Linked DNA regions of Macaca fascicularis. The protein of the gene in region 3 purifies or fractionates together with the protein of the main gene of each other region. This does not show direct contact. Links are inferred from orthologs where the notes say so. Each region holds a gene or a part of one and is shown on either strand. Other genes may lie near its edges.

Region 1 (4,851 bases), on a different chromosome or scaffold from region 3:
GCTTGAGAAAATGGCCTCCATCTGCATCTGTGTTATTGCAATGGATATGATTTCATTCTCTGTATGGCTGAATAGTATTCCATGGTGCTTATGTACCACATCTTCTTTATTCAGTCCACCACTGATGGGCACCTGGATTTATTCTGTCTTTGCTATTGTGAGTAGCGCTGTGGCAAATGTACAGTGCATGCGTCCTTTGGTAGCACAATTTATTTTCCTCTGGATATCTATACCCAGTAACTGTATTGCTGATTCTTATGGTGGTTCAACTCTTAGTTCATTGAGAAATTTCCAACCTGCTTTTCAAAGTGGCTGAACTAATTTACATTCTGAACAAAGTATATGTCTCTTCTTTTTCTGCAGCCTTGCCAACATCTATTATTTTTTAATGTTTTAACAAAAGCCATTCTGACTGGTATGATGGTATGAGATGGTGTCTCATTGTGGTTTTGATTTGCATTTCTCTGATGATTAGTGATGTTGAGCATTTTTTCATGTATTTGTTGGCTGCTTATATGTCTTTTATTTTATTTTTTTTGAGACAGAGTCTTACTCTGTCACCCAGGCTGGAATGCAGTGGCATTATCCCAGCTCACTGCAACCTCTGCCTTCTGGGTTCAAGCAATTCTCCTGCCTCAACCTCCTGAGTAGCCGGGACCACAGGCGTGCACCACCAAACTCAGCTAATTTTTGTATTTTTAATAGAGATGGGGTTTCACCATGTTGACTGCGCCAGTCTCAAACTCCTAACCTCAGGTGATCTACTTCCCAAAGTGCTGGGATTACGGGTGTGAGCCACCACACCCAGCAGCTGCTTATATATCTTCTTTTGAGAAGTGTCTGTTTATGCTTGCCCACTTTTTAATGGGGTTCTTTTTTCTTGTTGATTTGCTTACGTTCTTTATGAATTCTGGATATTAGACCTTTGTTGGATCCATAGTTTATGAATATTTTCTCCCATTCTGTAGGTTAGCTTACTCCCTCTTTTGCTGTGCAGAAGCTCTTTAGTTTAACTATGTCCTATTTATCAATTTTTGTTTTTGTTGCAATTCTTTTGAGGACTTAGAAGTTTTTTTCTCAAGGCTAATATCAAGAGGGCATTTCCTAGGTTTTCTTCTAGGATTTTAATAGTTTTAGGTCTTACATTTAAGTATTTAGTCCATCTTGAGTTAATTTTTGTGTATGATGAGAGGTAGCACTCTGGTTTCATTCTTCTGTATGAAGAAGCCAGCTGGGGGATCACATTTCAACATGAGATTTGGAGGAGAGAAACATCTAAACAATACTACCAAGTTAGAGGATAAAGAATTTGATAAAGTCAGAATATAAGGAATATGAGAGCAATGGACTTGAGTTGGAGAGAGGAAGAGATTTATTTAGCACACATACTAGTTGATAGAAAGATTATCTGTAATAAGATTATATGCATTCAGATGCTAGTAGTGAGCAGATATAGTAGAACACACAAAAGTTCTCTTGTGGTTGCTTCTGTTTCCTCTGTGAAATAGGAAGTAAGATCATCAACTCAGAATAAGGAGCAGGGAGAAGTAAGTATTTGAGGAAAGAGGAGTAGGAATGAAATAGTCATCTAGGAAAGTGGGAGAGTGAATGCAGTAGGGAAATGTGATTACCAGGAAACAAACCAGTGATGAAATATGACTGTTGGTCATGGAGGAGTCAGCTTGGTTGTTTATGCATTTCTAGCATGTTCCATTGCCTAGGTATAGACATTGAGTAACCTGAGAGTTGAATTTAGCTGTGCTTGGGATTTTGCTAGAATACACTGGCGGAGGTAGGGTTTGAAGGGAGTTATTTTATTTTATTATTTGAGACAGAGTCTTGCTCTGTCACCTAGGCTGGAGTGCAGTGGTGTGATCTTGGCTCTCTGCAACTTCCACCTCCCAGGTTCAAGCAATTCTCCTGCCTCATTCCCCTGAGTAGCTGAGATTACAGGTGCGTGCCACCATTCCCAGCTGATTTTTTGTATTTTTAGTAAGGACAGGGTTTCACTGTGTTAGCCAGGATGGTGTTGATCTCCTGACCTCATGATCCACCTGCCTCAGCCTCCCAAAGTGCTGGGATTACAAGTGTGAGCCACCGTGCCCCACCTTGAAGGTAGTTATTTTAATGATTGACTATGGAATCTAAACTGAGTAAGGGAAGACATAACTTCATGAGGAGGCTAAGGTAGTATTAATAGCTTCAGTGGATTTTTTTAGTTCCCCCACATTGCTGGGAGTCTGGGGCTTCCTGGGTTGGCTGTTGTGAATAGGAGCAAAGGCACAGTGAGGTTAGTCCTAAAAGCCTCACATGCAACAGTGAGAATAAGAAAGGAACGGGGGAGCTGCCTTTTCAGGTGCACAGAGCCCTTTTCTATTTCGTTATCCAATTAGGTTAATTCAATTTATAAAACATTTAGGAAGATTGAGGCAGGGTATGGTAACAGAAGTCTTGTATCATCCTCTACATTTTTTGATATATGTTATATAGCTGTATGTATAAAATAGATTTTAACTTTGTTTTTCATACCTAGCATTTTATATAATATTTTAGTTTTCATGATTTATGCCATTCACTTACTGAATGCTTTACTTGTAAAGTCTCATGATTTTTCTGTTATCATTGTTCTGTAAGAAATTGTTATTTTGCAAATTTTAAATAAAATTTTTCATTTTTCTTTGCAGGCACTATTTCATGGAAAGTTTATCGATACTGGTTTCTCTTTACCATTCTACAAGCGTATGTTAAGTAAAAAACTTACTATTAAGGATTTGGAATCTATTGATACTGAATTTTATAACTCCCTTATCTGGATAAGGTTTGAAGATTTTGTTTTGCAGTAAGTCATTTTTTTGAAACTCGTTTTGTTTCATTTTGTTAATTAGTGTATATATATTTATTTCACCCAGAGATAACAACATTGAAGAATGTGGCTTAGAAATGTACTTTTCTGTTGACATGGAGATTTTGGGAAAAGTTACTTCACATGACCTGAAATTGGGAGGTTCCAATATTCTGGTGACTGAGGAGAACAAAGATGAATATATTGGGTAAGGCGATATACCTTATTAAGCTTAATTTCTAGAACACTTCAGAACTAAATCCTTTCTCTGTACCCTTAATTTCATCCCCTTTTCATGCCTTTGGGAAGTTCTTCTCACCAGTACCACTGCTCTTGAAAAAAAAAGAATGTATGTTGCTTCATTTTCCCACTGCCATTTGCTGTAACCATTCTACCATTTCCCTTTCCATGTCATTTTCCCTTTTTTAACTTAGGCTTTTAAATAGTGCTCACCATAGCCTCTTTCTTGAAACTCAGTGTTTTCTTGAATTCCATGATCCTATGTCATACTGATTTTCCTTACATTCTCTTGTTTTAAAATTTTGTTTTCAGAGAGGGTTTCACTCTGTCGCTCAGGCTGTAGTAGTGGCGTGGTTGACCATTGAGCTCAAGCTATTCTCCTGCCTTAGTCTCCTGAGTAGCTGGTACTACAGGCTTATACTACTATTCCCAGCTAATTTAAAACAATGGTTTTTTGTTTTTGTTTTTGTTTTTGTTTTTTAAAGACAGGGTCTCACTGTATTGCCCAGGCTGGTCTCAAACTCTTGGCCTCAAGTCATCCTCCTTCCTCAGCCTCCCAAAATGCTGGGATTACAGGCATGAGTCACCACTCCTGGTCACTTGCACTTTTTTAATGACGGTTCTCTAAATCTCCTATTTCCTAAATGTAGGCATTTTTCCAAGATTTTATTTCAACCTGCTTATCTAAATATTCTGCTAACATAGCTTCAATTTTCTGTTAAAGTTATATCTGAACTTTAGAAATAATTTCCATTTGCCAGCCAGGTAAATCCAAACATTTTCAGGAAAGAACCAGGCAGTAAACTTGTTAGGCTTACAGGCCACATTTCTTATTGCAACTACTCACCTCTGTGGTATAGTGTGAAGGTAACCATAGACAGTGTATAAATAGATGTGTGGCTGTGTTCTAGTAAAACACTTGTAGACACTGAAATTTGATTTTGTATGATTTTCATATCCCAAAATACTTTTAATATTTTTCAGTCATTTTTTTAAAATGTAAAAACTATTCTTAGCTCAAATGCTGGGGACAAAAAAACCAGATGATTAGGCCCACGGGTCATACTTTGCCAACACGTGAACTACAGATGACCCATCTTAAAATGTCATGGGTCTAAAATCAAACTTTTCATTTTTTCTAGATATTTTCTCCTACTGATGTCTTCTATGAATAGTACTACCATTTTCACCCTCTTAGATGCTAGCTGTCATCTCTGTCTCTTTCAGATTTTTTGTTTTTTATATTTGTTTTGAAAATGGGATTGGATTATACACATTACTCTGTATTTTACTTTTTTGTCTTAAGGACAGTACAGTTAAATCTAGCTCATTTTTTAATAGCTAGGTAAACTGGGGTGGTTTTTTCCCTATATTTTTCAGCTATTCCTGTCAATAGAGATCATTTAGGTTGTGTCCAGTTTGGGCCACTGCAAAGAAGACAGCAGAAAACTTCCTTAAGCATGAATCCATACATCCTGCTACTTGTTTTGTGGGCTAGATTTTTAAAAAGTGAAGTTACTTGGTCAAAAAGTATTTAATAGATATTGCTATGTGGCTTTTGTAAAATGTCACAGCCATTCTTTTTTCCCTTCTTGTAAATTGCTATGGCCTTTCAAATTTATATCCTTAGTGTCTCTGCTTACCAACTTCAATGTACCCTTCTTAGCTTGACATTCTTGGCCTCTTCTGTTTCTGCTAAACCAGTCATCTCTGAGTGAGAGAAATTAGCAATAGCTGATTTTCTTCTTTTGTACTTTTGTACTCTGTTA
Region 2 (4,851 bases), about 110 Mb from region 3:
TGATTTGATTGTGCTGTTCCGTGACTTAAATGCTTTCTCTCTGCTCTGCTCCTTATATTTTACTTTATTTATTTATTTTTGTCGATGTAGGAGGCGCAAGCGCAGCTTTGTTCCATGGATATATTATTGCACAGTGGTAGTGTCTGGGCTTTTACTGTAACCCCCCCCTTTTTTTTTTTTGAGACAGAGTCTTGCCTTGTCGCACGGGCTGGAGTGCAATGGCACAATCTTGGCTCACTGCAACATCCACCTCCCGGGTTTAAGCGATTCTTCTGCCTCAGCCTCCCGAGTAGTTGGGATTGCAGGCGTGGGCCACCACGCCCAGCTAATTTTTATATTTTTGGTAGAGACAAGATTTCACTATATTGGCTAGGCTGGTCTCAAACTCCTGACCTCGTGATCTGCCCGCCTTGGCCTCCCAAAGTGCTGGGATTACAGGCGTGAGACACCGCACCCGGCCTTTGTGTAACTCTTACCCAAATAGTGAACATTGTACCCAATAAGTAATTTTCCAGCCCTCACCTGGGTCCCACCCTCCCACCCTTCTGAGGCTCCAGTGTCTATCATTCTACGCTCTGTGGATGTTACCCTTTGTTTAGCTCAAACTTGTAAGTGAGAACATGTGGTATTTGACTCTGTTTCTGAGGTATTTCACTTAAGATAATGGCCTCCAGTTTCATCCATGTGGCTTCAAAGATGTGACTTCCTTCTTTTCTATGGCTGAGCAGTATTCCATTGTGTATATAGATCACACTCTCTTGATCTTTGCTCTTTTGATAAATTTCAAATTGTCGTACCATGGAGACTGGCTCTTTGGGACACTTAACCTTATTTCTCCAACTTCATCCCCAAGTTCTCTCCCCACTGCCATTGCCCCTGTGTGATTCTGGAGAGGGAGACACAAACAGGAAAGGGTAGGTGACAATGAGATGTTCTGCAGATAAGTAGAGATCCATTTGTCCATTTGCTTGAAGTTGGTGTAAGGATAGGAACAGAAAGGAGGTGGTCTAACAGGCTCCAGGACCTATGAACTATTGCCCTGGAAAGAAACTAGAATGTCGTTCTCGCCCCCACGACAGGGATACATTTTTGTTGCTGGTGGTGGTGGTGACGGTGGTAGTGATGTGCGTGTGTGTGTGTGCATGTGTGTAACGGTGAAACCAATAAAGAATCAGAGCTGCAGCGGGGTGCGGAACCCCAGCACTTTGAGAGGCTGAGGTGGGCAGATCATAAGCCCAGGAGTTCAAAACCAGCCTGAGCAAGCTGGTGAGACCTTGTCTTTACAAAATAATAAATAAATAAATAAATAAATAAATAAATAAATAAAATAGCTAAGCATGGTAGCACATGCTGGTATTTGCAGCCACTTGGGAGGCTGAGGCAGGTGGATCTCCTTGAGCACAGGAGTTCTAGGTGGCAGTGAGCTATGATCTCACCATTGCACTCCAGCCTGTGCAACAAAGTGAGACCCTGTCTCTAAAAAAAAAGAAAAGAAAAAGAAAGAGAAAAAGAATCAGAGCTGCTTTTCCTTTCAATATAGATGGATGGCTGGGATGAAATCATCAAGCACAATGGGGTGACAATGTTGGTAAAGACAAGAAATAGCTGAGTGCAGCGCTGGCGAGGGCAGAGCCGACTGCGGGCACATCAACAGTTAGGAACACGAGGGAAGGAGGTGGAGTGCACAGGCCCACACCACCCGTTTCACTTACAAGCCAGGAGCTCACCATTCACTTGTCTGGGGGGTGACTGCAATGCACCCGGCACTGTTTATGGCCGGGAATTCACTGACGGGTGCTCCCTCTGCTGTGACTGGGGAGCCTGAGGGCTGACCTTGTGCTGTATTCCGGAGTTCTCTGGTCAGATGTGTTCTGACGCTTTCTGCCTCTGTTCTTGGCATGAAGGTTGGGGCGCTGCGGCCTCTCGCATGAGTGCTGCTTCGACATCTCCTTGGTCCTCAGCAGCAACCAGAAGCTGGTGGAGCTGGACCTGAGCGACAACGCCCTTGGGGACTTCGGGATCAGACTTCTGTGTGTCGGACTGAAGCACCTGTTGTGCAATCTGAAGAAGCTCTGGTGAGTTGAGCCCGTTCCCCAAAGGAAGCCCTGCCAACAAGGCATGTTTCGCACTCTGGCTTCAGTGAGGCCTGGGGGGCTGGAGTTTGAGTGACAGTGGCCTCGGCGGCTCAGGTGGCTGTGTGTGCTTGTCTCTGGGTGTCTGTGGCATTTCGGTCAGTTAGTGTTTGCTGTGGGGAAAGTCACACACTCAACCCTGACAAGGGGCATAAGTAATAAAAAAAGAAGATGACTGCCTGTAGGGTGCCCACTGCCTTAGCTGAGAAAAAGAAGAAAACCAGTGTAATGCATTGCTTTAGAGGAGTTTTAGAATTTCATGACAAGCCCTGGGTCCTCATGTTGTATAAGAAAAATGGTGCTAAAGCAGTGCAGACACTCGATGTTGTACGCAGCCCTTCCCTGAATGCTTCTGGGAGACTTGCATTTTGAAGGAGAGAAAAAAACACTTAAAAATGGAAGGGCCAATTCTCACCCATTAGGATGGCTATTATTAAACAAAAGCAAGAAAACTAGAAAACAAGTATTGGCATGGATACGGAGAAATGGAAGCCATTGTGTATTGCTGGTGGGAAAGTAAATGATGCAGCCAGTGTGGAAAACAGCACTGCAATTCCTAAAACAATATAGAATTACTATTGAAGCCAGCATTTCCACTCCTGGGTATATCTGCAAAAGAGTTCAAAGCAGTAACTCAGCCAGGCACAGTGGCTCACACCTGTAATCCCAGCATTTTGGGAGGCCGAGGCAGGTGGATCACTTGAGGTCAGGAGTTTGAGACTAGCCTGGCCATCATAGTAAAACCTTGTCTCTACTAAAAATACAAAAATTAGCCAGGCGTGGTGGCACGTGCTTGTAATCCCAGCTACTCTGGGTGGAGGCAAGAGAATCGTTTGAACCTGGGAGGCGGAGGTTGCAGTGAGTCAAGATCACGCCACTGCATTCCCACCTGGGTAACCGAGGAAGAGTTAAAAAAAAAAAGAAGGCAGGAACTCAAACATGTTATTTGTACACCCATGTCCATAGCAACACTATTAGCACTAGCCAAAAGGTAGAAATAACCCAAACGTCCTTCAACGGATAAAGGGTGTTGAAAAGTGCTATATATGTACATTCAGCTTTAAAAGGAATTCTAGTACACACTACAACATGGATGAGCCTCAGGGACATTATGCTAAGTAAGATAAGCTAGGCTTGAAAGGGCAAATACTCTGTGATTGTCCTGATAGGAGGTGCCTAGAATAGTCAGATTCATAGAGACAGAAAGAAAGGTGGTTGCAGGCAATGGGAGAGTGGGGAACGGGAAGACATTGTTTAATGGTTATGGAGTTTCATTTCGGCAAGATGAAAGGAGTTCTGGAGACGGTGGTGAAGATGGTTGCACAACAATGTGAATGTGCTTAAGGCCGTTAATCGTGCACTTAAAAATGGTTAAGATGGTAAATTTCATTTTACACGTATTTCACCACAATAAAGCTGAATGTAGGGAGCTGGGAAGATGTAGTATTGGTGCGAGCTTGTTATTCCGCCAGATGGAAGAGGAAATCAGAAGTGTACGTAGAGCTTGTGTCCACTCCCTTTCCATGTGTAAACTGGAGTAGAGGCAGTGGCAGGTACGGGTGCCTCCTTGTTCATGGTGGAGCGTGGGTGAGAGACATGACTGACATTCTGCCATCTTTGTGGAAGGCTGGTCAGCTGCTGCCTCACATCAGCGTGTTGTCAGGATCTTGCGTCAGTATTGAGCACCAGCCGTTCCCTGACCAGACTCTACGTGGGGGAGAATGCCCTGGGAGACGCAGGAGTCGCAATTTTATGTGAAAAAGCCAAGAATCCACAATGTAACCTGCAGAAACTGGGGTAAGTCTTCATGGGTGTCTCAGCAGAAAAGTAACTTCTTTTCAGAGGTGAATTATGTGGAAAATGTGGATGGGGGTTACTCTGGTCAGGCAGAGTTGAAGGTAGAGTAAGGAGGTAAAAACATCAGAAATGGTTTGAAGGACTGGATGTATATAATGTATACTACTGCTAATGAGATAATTTATGCTAATTTATGATTATAGCATTAGAGTTTCTTAGTGTTGGAAAAAACCTTAGAGATTGTGCAGCCCAATTGCCCATTAAGGAAAAAACTTGTTTCCAAGGCACTCACATGAATAGTCACCCATTTTATGTGTGCATGCATGCAAGTTATCGTCCAGTGCGTGCAGCCTCTACACCAGGAAAGAGCTCTTACCCTGCAGCCTCTACAGTAGGAGAGGGATTTTACCCTGCAGCCTCTGCACTAGGAGAGAGCTTTTACCCTGCAGCCTCTTTATCCTCAACAGTGTCAGGGCTCAGCACCTTCACCTGTGTAGCCATGCTCTCCCAGGTACACAGGCTGGTTTGTTAGTGTCTCTCTTTGAAATTTGGTGCCCAGACCTGATGACGTGTGGTGGATGTTTTAGCTCCTGTTGCAGAGAACTATGGTTTCACTGGTGGAGCCTCTGATTTCCTTATGCTTTTTGGCAGTTACATAAACCTTTTGGTTCTTGTTGGAATTCTGCAGTAAACAGTAGTAGAGAATACCCACTAATAATCATGCACTTTCCCTGTACCACTTTCCCTATACCACTTTCCCGTATCACCTGCTCTTTCCTGTTCTTACATGGATTTTCTCAGTTGGCGTCAGAAAGATGCTGTAAGGTGGGTATCTGTGTCTCCAGTTTAAAGAGGAGAAAATACAACTCAGGGAGCCTCGTAACTTTGTCCAAGGACACTCAGAGAGAAGGTAGTGGAACTC
Region 3 (5,310 bases):
CTTGAGATCAGGAGTTCAAGACCATCTTGGGCAACATGGTGAAACCCCGTCTCTACTAAAAATACAAAAATTAGCTGGGTGTGGTGGCACATGCCTGTAATCCCAAGTACTTGGGAGGCTGAGGAGGAAAGTCGCTCAAACCCAGGAGGCGGAGGTTGCAGTGAGCCAAGATGGGGCTACTGCACTGCAGCCTAGGCAACAGAGTGAGATTCTATCTTTAAAAAAATTACTTCAGAGTCCCACCTCCTCTGCTCCCAGTAACTCAATCAATATTGTTAACCAACTGAAAACACCTCAAGCCTAGTTTCTTAAGCTTCTAGAACAGGGTGCTGCCTCAAACACGCCCTAAGGATAAACAAGTTCCTGGGGTTTAATGCGTGTGTGTGTGTGTGTGTGTGTGTGTGTGTGTTTTCCAAGAGACTCATGATGCCTATTCTTGAGCTTGTTTAATATTGGGGTTGAGTTGTAACTTGTTAGCCTTGGGGTGTCAATCCAGCTAGGGTGTCTGAGGAAGGAAGAAGTCTCCTTAACAGCAATGAATAGGTTTCTTTTTTGCTGACTGGGTAGGGTTTCAATATACTTGAATGCTTCTTAGTTACTTCCCCATCTCAATCTTGGGACATTATCTTCCTTTCCAGCCCAAGGAATGAGATGATAATCTTCTGATACCCCAGCACAGATATGGGAAGGGTCTATGAATCAAAGAAAAGGGGGAAGAATCCCTGCACTTCTGCATACAGGTTTTTCTTATTACATTTAAGAGTAAGTTCTCAGTACTCAGCTCCTAAAGCATCTCACAGCCAGCAGGGGAAAATCCATCTGACAGCTGGCCAAACGAAACCAGCAAAGAATGAAACCAACAAAGGGAGGGTAGGGTCTCTTCTGGCTTGAATTTATAGTGCTCTAGTGACCGATCTTTCTTCTCTTTTCCTTCTTACTGTTTTCTAAACCGTTTAGGGAAAAACCTTTGAAAATATTTTTTAAAATTGTTCCTTCAAACAGGTGTATGGCCATCTCTCCACTGGAAATTTGGATATAAACAAGAGGACTTTCTTGCTTTTAACCAGATTTATGGATGTATATTTGATTTAGTGAGTTGGGAGAGGGGAGGGAGACAAGAAAGAGTGAACATAACTCTGGAAGAAAGTGAAAAAAGTGAAGCATCCTTGTTCCCCCCCCCCTTCCTTTTCCTCCAGAAGCAGGTAGGGAGTGCGAGATTATCAGCGCCTGGACACACCTCACTAAAGAGGTAATGAGGTAAATGGGAAACACAGACAAAGTGTTCCCCAACTTTGCAGGCAGAAATTGAAGAGATAACAGGATAAGCAACAGGATGTAAACACGCCTGTCCTATTTCCGTGCCAGAGAACAGAGAGAACAGAAGAGAGGGTACAAGGGGCGGGGGGTGACGAACAGCACACGCACGCAGCCCCCAGCCCTAGCCCCAAGGGATTGGAACGGGAAGTAGAAGACATCAGTCCTACAGCCGCAATGAGGCCTGAAAGTTCTCCTTTCCCTCAGAGATGGTGGTGTTTTTTTACATTTAATAGGGATGCGGGGCAAGAGAAGGACAAAGGGGCTGTTCCTTAACAGTAACACCAAGCATTCTGCGCTCCACGGCCCCAAACCTAAAAGTATTCTTGGAGCTATGGGATTTTCACACACTTGCTATTTACGAGCCACGAATAAACGACAGACTATAAAGTAATTGCACTGGCTAAGACTAGGCACGAAATTCCCTCATAAGCACATTTTCTTTTTACCTCAAACCACCGCTCTCAGACCAGAAACGTCCACACCCGCCCTCCGATGGCCTGTCGCCCTGGCTAGGTTTTAGGGTCAGTGGTATCCTCCTTCCACTAGGCCCGGGTAAAGACTCAAAAGCCCCCTCCTTCCCCTCATTCCTCTCCTTCCCCCCTCCCTGCGCCGCTCCCGAGCACAACAACCATTTTCCCCGCCAGGAGCACACCGTGTCCACGCGCCTCAGCGATCTCACTGATTGGTCGGGCTCCTGGTAAACAAGGACCGGGCAGCCAATGGGAGGGATGTGCACGAGGGCAGCACGAGCCTCCGACCCAGCGCTCGCGTGGCTCTTCTGGCCGGGGCTTCTATATAGAGCCGTTTCCGCCTGCTGCTTGAAACTAACCTCTCTTTCTCTGTCAAGAAGTGCTTGCGGAGATCGGATCTCTTCTCCAGCAATCGGGGAAAAGAAGACTTTTTCTCTGAAATCGCTTAGTGTAACCAGCGGCGTAAATTTTTTGGACGCCTTTTCGAAAACCTAGTTAAAATTCATTTGTTTAAATCTCATTTTTAAGCTCAAACTGCTTAAGAATATCTTCATTCCTTAGGAAGAGTGAAATAATTTACTGCAAAGGAATTTCCTCGATTTGGTGCATTTTTTTTTTTATTCTTCCACGGTCTTTTCTAACTCTCAAACCAACTCCGTCCCATCATGGTGATGTTCAAGAAGATCAAGTCTTTTGAGGTGGTCTTTAACGACCCTGAAAAGGTGTACGGCAGTGGTGAGAAGGTGGCTGGCCGGGTGATAGTGGAGGTGTGTGAAGTTACTCGTGTCAAAGCCGTTAGGATCCTTGCTTGCGGAGTGGCTAAAGTGCTCTGGATGCAGGGATCCCAGCAGTGCAAACAGACTTCGGAGTACCTGCGCTATGAAGACACGCTTCTTCCGGAAGACCAGCCAACAGGTAAGCGGCCCAATTCATTGTTGGAGGGTGAAAGCTGATTAGAGAAGAGAATTGAAAGGAATACACAAAACTATACGAAATGTTTTAAGTTGCTCAGTTTGAGTGGTGTGAATTGCACGTTGTTACTTCCTTTTTTCTAATTTGCAGACATTCTCCCCCCCACACCCCCCAAAAAAAAGGGTGGTTTGTACAATTTTTTATGGTGCTGTGTCCTAAAGGTGGTTCTGAGGGGCATTGCCTCGGATAGTTAAAAATCTTATGTGTGCATTAGTTGCTTATTCTTTGCCTACTTCCTGTTTGAGATGTTAGTGAAGAACTGTCCTGGGTGAATCTTTAAAAGCATTGCAGGGCAACTTGGGAACTTGCTGCCCAACAAAATACATCAGAATTTCTCTTTAAGAACAACATGGGATGATTAAAATACCTCTCTGTGGGACGAAATTAGGGGTACTTCAATACCTTGCATGCCACCCAAACATTCCTTATCACACAGATGCGTTTTAAGTGTAACAGGAAGCCTAATGGCTACTCGATTATCTTTCCCTTCAGGTGAGAATGAGATGGTGATCATGAGACCTGGAAACAAATATGAGTACAAGTTCGGCTTTGAGCTTCCCCAGGGGTAAATATCAGCTAAATGCATCTTTGAACTTTTCTGTCTAAAATATCTTGCCCTCCTTTGATCACTTACTGTTCCTTGGAGAGCATTTAAAAATTTTCATTTTCTTGACACAGGCCTCTGGGAACATCCTTCAAAGGAAAATATGGGTGTGTAGACTACTGGGTGAAGGCTTTTCTTGACCGCCCCAGCCAGCCAACTCAGGAGACAAAGAAAAACTTTGAAGTAGTGGATCTGGTGGATGTCAATACCCCTGATTTAATGGTGAGATTCATTTTAAAGATTATATTCTCCTGGGTCACAGGGATGATAAATCAGATGTCTTGGGCATTAGATTGAAGCATCTCAAAACACCTTTTTGTCCCCTTCTACATAGGCACCTGTGTCTGCTAAAAAGGAAAAGAAAGTTTCCTGCATGTTCATTCCTGATGGGCGGGTGTCTGTCTCTGCTCGAATTGACAGAAAAGGATTCTGTGAAGGTAAAATCCTAGTGCTTATGGCAGACAGATATAACAGGAACTAGGTTTAGGGGCAAGGGCATGGGACTGGGGTAGAGGAAATGTCATTAACTATACTGAGTATCAGTAAGTTTTCATTTTTCTCTTTGCTAGGTGACGAGATTTCCATCCATGCTGACTTTGAGAATACGTGTTCCCGAATTGTGGTCCCCAAAGCTGCCATTGTGGCCCGCCACACTTATCTTGCCAATGGCCAGACCAAGGTGCTGACTCAGAAGTTGTCATCAGTCAGAGGCAATCATATTATCTCAGGGACATGTGCATCATGGCGTGGAAAGAGCCTTCGGGTTCAGAAGATCAGGCCTTCTATCCTGGGCTGCAACATTCTTCGAGTTGAATATTCTTTACTGGTGAGTAGATGCAGGGTGGGTTCAGCAGAGAAATTGTTCATCTGTTACCATAACTGTCTTGTTTCACCAGAGCGCTCTGGTCTAACAAACTACCATCTTCCTTTTCTAGATCTATGTTAGCGTTCCTGGGTCCAAGAAGGTCATCCTTGACCTGCCCCTGGTAATTGGCAGCAGATCAGGTCTAAGCAGCAGAACATCCAGCATGGCCAGCCGAACCAGCTCTGAGATGAGTTGGGTAGATCTGAATATCCCTGATACCCCAGAAGGTGAGCCAGACCTAATGTCTTTTCTTCATTTCTGGTCTACCTGGGTTTGTAAAATTGTGATGGTCCAGCATTTCTTGGGCAGGCTTCTTATGTGGCCATATTTTCTTTTCTAGCTCCTCCCTGCTATATGGATATCATTCCCGAAGATCACCGATTGGAGAGCCCCACCACTCCTCTGCTAGATGACATGGATGGCGCTCAAGACAGCCCTATCTTTATGTATGCCCCTGAGTTCAAGTTCATGCCACCACCTACTTATACTGAGGTGAGAATTGTCATATTTACTGTTAAAATTTGTCCTAAGCTTTCTATAAGAAGTTGACTTAGGGGGATTGCTAAACTGGTTTGTTCTTTTAGTTCTTATCTGAACTGAAATAGTCTGTTTCTTCCTTTAGGTGGATCCGTGCATCCTCAACAACAACGTGCAGTGAACATGTGGAAGAAAAGAAGCAGCTTTACCTACTTCTTTCTTTTTGTCTCTCTTCCTGGACTCTCACTTTTTCAGAGACTCAGTAGTCTCTGCAATGGAGTGTGGATCCACCTTAGCCTCTGACTTCCCAATGCAGGAGGTGGTCAGCAGGCAATCTCCTGGGCCTTAAAGGATGCGGACTCATCCTCAGCCAGCGCCGATGTTGTGATACAGGGGTGTTTGTTGGATGGGTTTAAAAACAGCTAGAAAAACTCAGGCCCATCCATTTTCTCAGATCTCCTTGAAAATTGAGGCCTTTTCGGTAGTTTCGGGTCAGGTAAAAATGGCCTCCTGGCATGAGCTTTTCAAGGTTTCTTGGAGGCTTTGTGCAAATTGTGATAACCACTTTGGACCTTCAACTTATGTATCTATCATGTGGAAAAGAG

Evidence for each region. Proteins that work in one complex are often made in the same cells at the same time.
Region 1: the proteins of TXNIP (region 3) and WWP1 purify together in Homo sapiens (affinity purification with mass spectrometry; 4 studies listed by BioGRID and IntAct, counting the BioPlex papers as one, with this or other methods). This does not show direct contact. The link is inferred for Macaca fascicularis from reciprocal best matches to the Homo sapiens genes TXNIP and WWP1.
Region 2: the proteins of TXNIP (region 3) and NLRP3 purify together in Homo sapiens (affinity purification with western blotting, with the first as the bait; 4 studies listed by BioGRID). This does not show direct contact. The link is inferred for Macaca fascicularis from reciprocal best matches to the Homo sapiens genes TXNIP and NLRP3.

Annotation. Positions count from the first base shown.
Region 1 is NC_088382.1:96,198,818-96,203,668, forward strand, and holds part of WWP1 (NEDD4-like E3 ubiquitin-protein ligase WWP1), read left to right. Parts: intron 1-2,684; coding exon 2,685-2,818; intron 2,819-2,909; coding exon 2,910-3,050; intron 3,051-4,851. UniProt on the Homo sapiens protein: E3 ubiquitin-protein ligase which accepts ubiquitin from an E2 ubiquitin-conjugating enzyme in the form of a thioester and then directly transfers the ubiquitin to targeted substrates.
Region 2 is NC_088375.1:1,648,662-1,653,512, reverse strand, and holds part of NLRP3 (NACHT, LRR and PYD domains-containing protein 3), read left to right. Parts: intron 1-1,904; coding exon 1,905-2,075; intron 2,076-3,758; coding exon 3,759-3,929; intron 3,930-4,851. UniProt on the Homo sapiens protein: Sensor component of the NLRP3 inflammasome, which mediates inflammasome activation in response to defects in membrane integrity, leading to secretion of inflammatory cytokines IL1B and IL18 and pyroptosis.
Region 3 is NC_088375.1:113,421,388-113,426,697, forward strand, and holds the start of TXNIP (thioredoxin-interacting protein), read left to right. Parts: upstream 1-2,137; 5' UTR 2,138-2,452; coding exon 2,453-2,702; intron 2,703-3,251; coding exon 3,252-3,324; intron 3,325-3,437; coding exon 3,438-3,585; intron 3,586-3,697; coding exon 3,698-3,800; intron 3,801-3,932; coding exon 3,933-4,189; intron 4,190-4,298; coding exon 4,299-4,455; intron 4,456-4,568; coding exon 4,569-4,720; intron 4,721-4,850; coding exon 4,851-4,886; 3' UTR 4,887-5,310. UniProt on the Homo sapiens protein: May act as an oxidative stress mediator by inhibiting thioredoxin activity or by limiting its bioavailability.